Linked DNA regions of Mus musculus. The protein of the gene in region 2 purifies or fractionates together with the protein of the main gene of each other region. This does not show direct contact. Links are inferred from orthologs where the notes say so. Each region holds a gene or a part of one and is shown on either strand. Other genes may lie near its edges.

Evidence for each region.
Region 1: the proteins of Cul9 (region 2) and Apex2 purify together in Homo sapiens (affinity purification with mass spectrometry; 3 studies listed by BioGRID and IntAct, counting the BioPlex papers as one, with this or other methods). This does not show direct contact. The link is inferred for Mus musculus from reciprocal best matches to the Homo sapiens genes CUL9 and APEX2.

The regions. Positions count from the first base shown.
Region 1 is NC_000086.7:150,585,130-150,589,554, reverse strand, and holds the start of Apex2 (DNA-(apurinic or apyrimidinic site) endonuclease 2), read left to right. Parts: upstream 1-1,399; 5' UTR 1,400-1,478; coding exon 1,479-1,632; coding exon of another isoform or gene 1,633-1,662; intron 1,663-2,068; exon of another isoform or gene 2,069-2,110; intron 2,111-2,428; coding exon 2,429-2,512; intron 2,513-3,509; coding exon 3,510-3,690; intron 3,691-4,207; coding exon 4,208-4,354; intron 4,355-4,425. UniProt on the Homo sapiens protein: Functions as a weak apurinic/apyrimidinic (AP) endodeoxyribonuclease in the DNA base excision repair (BER) pathway of DNA lesions induced by oxidative and alkylating agents.
Region 2 is NC_000083.6:46,504,766-46,508,575, forward strand, and holds part of Cul9 (cullin-9), read right to left. Parts: coding exon 3,502-3,810; intron 1-3,501. UniProt on the Homo sapiens protein: Core component of a Cul9-RING ubiquitin-protein ligase complex composed of CUL9 and RBX1. The CUL9-RBX1 complex mediates ubiquitination and subsequent degradation of BIRC5 and is required to maintain microtubule dynamics and genome integrity.

The DNA.
Region 1 (4,425 bases), on a different chromosome or scaffold from region 2:
AGAGCTGTTTTTCTGATAGCAGTAACTAGTGACCTTTAAGTCCGATGGGGGTGGGGTGGGGGAGGGGCAGCCTACTGTGGCTCTGTATAGCCATGAAGACGATGGCTCAAAGGCTGTGAAATTCTGAGGGTGTGTGCATTCGAATGGGAATAACTTTGTAGCAATTTTCAGTGGAAAAAAAAAAAACCCTTAGGATGCAAAGTTATAGTTTTCCTGGAAATAGGGCGATTCCTGTTAATTCTGTTTCTGTGGTCACAAAAAAATAAGTCGAGAACTCATCCCTACTGCCCTGCTTATTCATCCATTTGCTAAATATTTATTCCGTTATCATATAAGGTGGGTCAGAGATGGCCACTGCATTCAGGCTGCTGGCAGTCTAGTGACAACGGAAATCAATGGGGGTTGTGCACTGTGGTAAATACTGTGCCATGGACCATAAAGTGCAGTGGTGCCCACAGGAAAAGACGTAAACACAGAGGTGTGTGGACAAAAAAAAAATCAATTGTTTACCTGATTAAGAAGGGTTTAAATCTTGGCTCTACCACTTCTGTGAGGCTGAGACGAATTTATTCAACTTCTACTTAGCTTCAGTGCCTCTTCCTGGATTATCCTAAGAATGAAAGGACACGGTATAGACAGGAAAACCATAACTGCATCGGGAAATGATACTATTCTGGAGCTTAAATGGTCTAGGCCTCGATTTTGCTCATCTGAGAAATGGAGCCAAATGCAAGTCTGTCTTATGCTTTGAGAGTCAAGACAAACATGGCTATACAGGGAGGATTTGAGGCAGTCTCCTTCCTCCAGACTCCATTAAAACGGAGGCTAGCTAGGTTCTTAATTGCTTAACGGAGAAAGTTCCCTTCGCCACTGCCCAAAAGGACTCCAGGGTCTGCAGAAGCCCCTCAGCCACCGCCAGGGGCCGCTCACTAAAGCCAGAGTCCTGTCTCGATCCGGGTAGGGCGTTGGCTCAGCTTGTTTCCCCAGAGGCCTGCCCCTTGACAAAGGGACAAAATCCCATTTGTCAGTAACCTGGCGCATCAGGGGGTACTTTTGTAGTAGAGAAGAGCAGTCAGATTCGGGCGTCCAGGCCAGCATGCGGCCAGAAGAGAAGGAGCCCAACCAGAGACGCGCCTCTCACCAGTTACTCTTCCCAGGTTTTGGTCTGGGTCTTGCTATGTAGCCCAGGCTGGCCTTGAATTCATTACTGACCCTGCCTCAGCTTCCTGAGTACTGGGGTGACAGGCTCGTTTGATCAAGCCCGGTTTTCCTACAGCCTCCACCTTAGTTCCGTCTCCCGCCTAAGAGAACTGAACTCGAAGTCCCGCCCTGCTTGCGTCCTGCCGTCGGAGGGGGCGGAGGGGAAGGTGAGAACGCCCGGTGGAAACGCGAGAGGAAGGCGGGGAGCCAGCTCACTTCCGGGCAGCAATGCATTTGCCCGCCTAAGCTTCCTTTGGGAAACTGTACCGTTTACCAAAATGCTGCGCGTGGTAAGCTGGAACATCAATGGGATCCGGAGTCCCCTGCAAGGCCTTGCATGCCAGGAACCCAGCAGCTGTCCCACGGCCTTGCGACGCGTTTTGGACGAGCTGGATGCTGATATTGTCTGTCTCCAGGAGACCAAAGTGACCAGTGAGCATTCGAGAATCCAAGATCTCTACGGTGTTTTCCTTTTGATGCTAACCTTTGTTCTGTCTCATTTCGCGTTTCGTTTTCCTATACTTAGAATCCTGCCCTTATACCCATCTGAAAGGCCTGATCCTTTTCTTTCTAAACAACCCCACCCCAGCTAGAACCCCTAATTCCGACTCCTGGCCTGCTTTCCCCGTTGAAACCCTCATACACAGATTCCCACTCATTCTATAGCCCGAACTCTGGGCCTTGAATTTTCTCCTTTCATTCTTCTAAGCCAAACACCTCAGTTTTCCATCCCTGCCCCCACCTCAGTCCTTAATCCCCACCTAATCTCTGCCTTTAGCTCAGACTCTTAATTTCTCCTTCCCATATCTCCAATTCCTCTTTTCTCTCCACCTCAAGGCCCTAGATTCATTCCTCTTTGATATCTTACCTCAAATTTAGACCTAATTTCTTCTCCCATAATTCCCAGCTCGAATTCCCTAATTCCCTCTCCTACCTCCCACCCTTCAGGTCCCCAATCTCCACTGCCAGCATCTGTGAGTACTTTAATCTAAATCACAAGACTTAGCTCTGATTTGCCCTCCTCTGCTTCCCTATCTAATTTGAATATAATTTTCTTTCCTGACTTTCCCATCTCTCTAGCTCCTGTCAACATAAACACTTCTCCTGACCCTCAATTACAGCTCTGATGTATGCTAACCTATAACTGTAATTCCAGTCTTTCATGGGTCCATGGTGCTAATTTACCTCTGACTTTATATTTACTTTTTTTTCTTTTTTTTTTTTTTAGGAGATGTACTGACAGAGCCCCTGGCTATTGTTGAGGGTTATAACTCCTATTTCAGCTTCAGCCGCAGCCGTAGTGGCTATTCTGGTAAATGAGGTCTTCTGGGGGTATTTATGTTAGCATTGGTGATGGAGAAAAGGAGTGTTTTGGTATTTAATAAGAAGGTAACATATTTTGACTTTTCATTTCCAAAGCAAATGCTGCTAATTTTAGGTCATATGAAACCTCATATTTATGCACCGAAGTTTCCTTTTGTCCCTCAGAAGTATAGTAATGTACTTCTTCTGAGTTAACTGTATAAGCACTGGACCTTAACTGCCAGGGTTCAAGTCCTGGCTCACATCCTCTCTGTGTTTTCTGACAAGTTACTTTACCTTTGTGTTTCAGGTTTTTCACTGAGAAAATAAGGATAATGGTTATTTTCTAGGCTCTCACAAGGGTTTAGACATAGTCTTGCATGAGGTAATAATGATAGCTAATTTTTCATCAGCATTTGCTATGTATGTGTAAAATACATTATTATTGTTCTTGTAAAATATAACATTATTCTGTGGCTTTTTTTTTTTGGTTTTGTTTTTTGTTTTCGAGACAGGAACTCACTTTGTAGACCAGGCTGGCCTCAAACTCAGAAATCCACCTGCTTCTGCCTCCCAAGTGCTGGGATTAAAGACGTGCGCCACCACTGCCCTATTCTGTGGCTTTTTAAGAGGAAACTGAGGCCTCAGATGCTTTAAGACGCTACAGAGCCATGTATGGCCCCTGAGTTAGGAGGATTGTCCTTACTTTTTTTTTTTTTTTTTTTGATTTTTCGAGACAGGGTTTCTCTGTATAGCCCTGGCTGTCCTGGAACTCACTTTGTAGACCAGTCTGGCCTCGAACTCAGAAATTCGCCTGCCTCTGCCTCCCAAGTGCTAGGATTAAAGGCGTGTGCCACCACGCCTGGCTGTCCTTACATTTTTGAAACAGTTAAATTTGACAAAGATAACCAAAGCTGTTCCTTATATGGATACACTTGGAGTGGGATAGGCTGTACAATGATATATTGGCTGCTGACCCCGTTCAGAATGCTCTTGTCCGTCCCCAGGTGTGGCTACCTTCTGTAAGGACAGTGCTACCCCAGTAGCTGCTGAAGAAGGCCTGAGTGGTGTGTTTGCCACCCTGAATGGAGATATTGGTTGCTATGGAAACATGGATGAGTTCACGCAAGAGGAACTCCGGGTTCTGGATAGTGAGGGCCGGGCCCTCCTTACACAGCACAAGATCCGGTAATAGTCCATATCCTCCTCTTACAGGCCATCACTGGTTCTAGTCCTTGTGTCTAGAATATAAGGCCCATTCTATAGGTATTCAGTTGCTATAAAAATGTTCCCAAACTTGCCTTCCTGTATTTTAGTCCAGGCTGGGCTGAGTGATCTTGGAAAATTCATGCTTCCTTCTGAGCCTTGTGTTCCCCTCTCTACAGAGGGAGACTGGCCTGAAAGAATAGCTTTTTAATTACCATGGGCTCCTCAAAAATAGCTTAGCCAGCACAGAACTCATCATCCTAAGTTGGTTTCTTTCTAGGTATCTTATAGTCATAAATGGCTGCATTATACCCAGTTTACCTGGGTATTATGCCCTCCTTGCCTTATCCAAAGTCCATCCCCCCAAGACTTGCTCATTTATTTCTCCTAACCGTTTTTTGTTCATCCCATGGATAACCATTAACTAGAATCTGCATGGTGGGTGGATATGAAGGGGAGACTTGAAACTGACCTCTTCTGTGGGGCTCTTTTCTCCCAGCACATTGGAAGGGAAGGAGAAGACTTTGACCCTGATCAATGTGTACTGCCCTCACGCGGATCCTGGGAAGCCTGAGCGGCTGACCTTCAAGATGCGCTTCTATCGCCTGCTCCAGATGCGAGCAGAAGCGCTCCTGGCAGCTGGCAGGTATATTGTCAATCTAGACAGCCAGGTTTGGTTGAACACATCTTGGTGGTTGGCCTGTGCCATGCTCTATG
Region 2 (3,810 bases):
GCTATTCCTCTCAGGCATTTGTCACAGCGGTGTGTGATCAGCACCAGCGAGGTGAGCATGGACCTGCGAGTGGCTAAGAGCACCTGCTGCCCCTCTAAAGAACCCAGGATCAATCCCAGCACCCACATGGTAGCTCACAACTGTAATTCCACTTCTGGGGATCTGATCCTCTTCTGGCCTCTGCAGGGCCAGGTATGTATGCAATGCAGGCAAAACACTCATACACACAAATTAAAGATAATAATTTTTTCTTAAAGGCGAGAGAGAAGGCAACCTGGGGGAAACATCGCCTTTCCCCCTGGACTCTGGGCTCCTAGATGCTGGTGCCCGTGCTGGTGCCCGTGCTGGTGCCAGCACTGCTGATTTCCTCTAGTCCCCCTGGCTCCAGCTTTCCCAGCCTGAGGCTCTACCTCCAAGGGCTCTCCTTCTAACAGACTCAGTCTCTTCCCCTAAGAGACTAATCTGTGGTGTCCCTCTGTCCTCATCCACCGCACAGCCATCTCCACCCCATCCTTGTCCCCAGCACCAGAATTTCCCAAACTCTTCTGTTGTTCCTACCACCCCACCCTAAAGCGGGTCATTGTGTCTTCTCCCTAATACACAACAGCCTCCTGATAAATGGCCCTTTCTCCTTCAGCTCTCCAAACAAAGTCCATGAGTTTCTTAAACTGTTCCACTAAGCACCCTTGGTCCTCAGACTATGATCAAGCTCCAAAATGATCAATCAAAGCACAGGGACCCCAGTTGACAGTGCCCACGTGAAGAACCTGACCGTCTCTCACCAGACCAAACCCTTTACATCTTGAAACAAATCAAGACAAGATAGGAAGCAGACTAAAAACAGTTTTTGCATTATTTTAGGTGAAGCAAGGGGCGAGTCTACCAAATGTAGACCCCAAGCTCACAGGCATGCAGTAGCTTTGGATGCCCTACAGCCCTGAATGACAGAATCCTGGAATCTGAGTCTGGCTGCCCCTGGCCTCTTGGCTTCTGCCACAGCCACTGCCCAGCCCTAGGGCAACAGTGCTAGCCAGTATCTGCCCTTTGCCCACACTGCCTGCCAATAGGCTCATGCTGGCGGCCTTCCACTGCTCCAGGCCTTGGGCTGTCCTGTGCCTCCAGCATTTCTGCCTTATTCGCAGCCTGGAACCTTTGTTATTTTGTCTTATGTTTGTTTGTTTGTTTGTTTGTTTGTTTGTTTGAGACAGGGTTTCTCAGCATAGTCCTGGCTATCCTGGAACTCTGTCTGGAGACCAGGCTGGCTTTGAACTCAAGAGATCTGCCTGCCTCTGCCTCCAGCTAGGACCTTTTAAAATCAGTTACATTTTGTAGGCCCCCTGTCTCTGTGTCTCTACACGAGGGCCCCCTAAGCTCAGCTCCACTCTTTTCCTGAAGTGTTGTCAGTCAGACCCTCCACTTAGTTCCAAATCCACGGGCTAGTTGACTTTGTCATAAAATATCTAGCGAGCAGCTCAAACTTCACATGGCTGTGACTGATTGCGCTTCCTCGCAAAGCCCCACCCTTCATCCCTATACCTTGCCCCAAAGTTCCTCTGAAACAAAGTAAAGGTGCCCGGTTCCATCCCCTGGGCTACCCAGATCAGAAGCAGAGGGGCTTTCCTTGGTTCTCTTCTCTGGAGCCTGGACATCTAACACGACAAGTCTCATAGGTTCTATCTGTAACTTTTCTGGTTACCACAGACTGGTCCAAACCACACCTTCAACCTCACACAATACCCTCCAGATGGGTCTCTCCACACACCAGCCAAAGCTTCTGGGGACTTCCACATCAGTTCATGAGAAGCCCAAAGCTGACAGCTGCTGTCCTCTTTGGTGGCTCTCACTGAACCTGGAGCTCACGGATACTGACTGGTCTGCCCCAGGGATCCCATCTCTGCCACTGGAGTCCTGATAACAGTCAGCCACCATGCCTACCCTCACTTTATCTACACTGGCTTTTATGTAGGTTCTGACATCTGAACTCCGGTGCTCATGTCTGCATGGTAAGCACTTTTATCTACTGAGCTATCTCCCAACTCCCAATCTAAGTTTTCACTAGTGTAAATCAGATCGTATCGCCTTGCTTGAAACCCACAGTGGTTTCCCACACATCATTATCCACCTCAGCCTCCTCATCCTTCTCTGAGGCCCCCTCCCCTAGCAGACAGCCTCAGTCACCACAGTCCACTGCTACAGTACTCCCTCACGGGGTGTCACCCCTTGGCAGTCAGTCCTCCCTTGATCGCCCCGATGTAAAGGGGAAGCCCTACTCCCTGTGCAGTCACTTCCTACGACATCACCCAAGTGTAACTTCTTCCAGAATTTATCACCAAAGTTTGGAGAGAGGTTAAGTTTGGGGTAAGGCTGCCAAAATTCAAATCTTGACTCAGATAAATGGTATCACCACGAGTGTCTCCATCTATCGTCTGTACACTAGAGCTAGTAAGGCTGGACAGATGGCTCAGTGGTTAAGAGCAACTGCTATTCTTCCAGAGGACCCAGGTTCAGTTCCCAGCTCCCAGATGGTGGCTTGAGCCCATCTGTAACTCCAGTTCCAGAAACATCTGATACCCTCTTCAAGCAAAGTGCTTACATGCCAAGGTTTCAATAAATAAACAACCCTTTTAAAGGGGGACAGTAAAGGCCGCTACTCTTCAAACCATTAGAGTAACTAGGAAATGAAAACAGACAGCATGATACTGGCCCTCGTGCCCCTGAAGAGTGAGCTGCCATTGTTAGCAGCTCTCAGATCTCGCCCCCTCAAACAGGGTCTACCCACTACACATACTAAGTCCCTGCCTGTTATAATTAAATGAATATATAAAAGAAAAACCTAAAACTGTGGGGAGAAGGGAGTCCAAGCAACTAAATCAGAAGTGTCTAGGAGCAGAGATGGGGGGGGGGCGGGCACAGAGCCACACATCACCCACCCCTGGGAGACACAGGTGGAAGAGTTTGTGGCAACAGGCAGTGTTCCTCATGCTATGTACTATGTTAGCTTCCTGCTGCTCAGGCGCTGTGTTAGCTTGGCCTGGGGCCTGCAGATCTGGGAGGCAAGGAATTTGCACTCTGGGTCCCGGAACCTCTGCCCTCTCCTCTCTTTGGGTCCTTACTCCCCTTTCCAGGCCTATATATTTCTATTTGTTTGTGTATTGAATGATAATTCATGACAAAAGATTTGTGTCCTGAGATGAGTGAACTTAAGGAAACCATGGATTATGAGTAACACTAATGGCATTTCCTCCTTGTCTGTCTGTCTGTCTGTCTGTCTGTCTCTGTGAGGAGTGTGGCAGGTGGCCCCAGTTACAGAGGGCAAACTAGCTTAGTTGAAGGGATATTGAGAGACATACCTGGGTTTGGGGTTCAGCGCAGTGGCTGAGGTGCTAGGCTCTCCCCTCAGGAGGGAGGAAAAGAGAACCCTACTCACCCAGGTTAGGAAATAGTGTTTGCAAGGTGCGTAGCCAGGTGGAAAGGCTGGGGAAGGAGAGGCTGCACGCTCACCTTACAGCAGCAGTGCAGGCAGCAGAGGGAGGGCGAGTCGTCATGGGGTCCTAAGGGGGTGACGCACACAGGGCATTGGTCAGGGCGAGTGGGGACCACCTGGGCCTGGGGTACTCGCAGCCCTGCCGCAAGGAGCAGTGGTTCTGGGTCATCGCTGTAGCTCTGCAGCAGCTGCTCTGTGCCCCAGTGGGAATGAGCCAGAAGGTGCTGAGCTACATCTGGCTCCAAGTTCAGCGTCTCCTGCACCTGCCGCACCGTCTGCTCCATCAATCCTTCTACCTCCTGGGGACTCATGGTACGGCCTGCAGG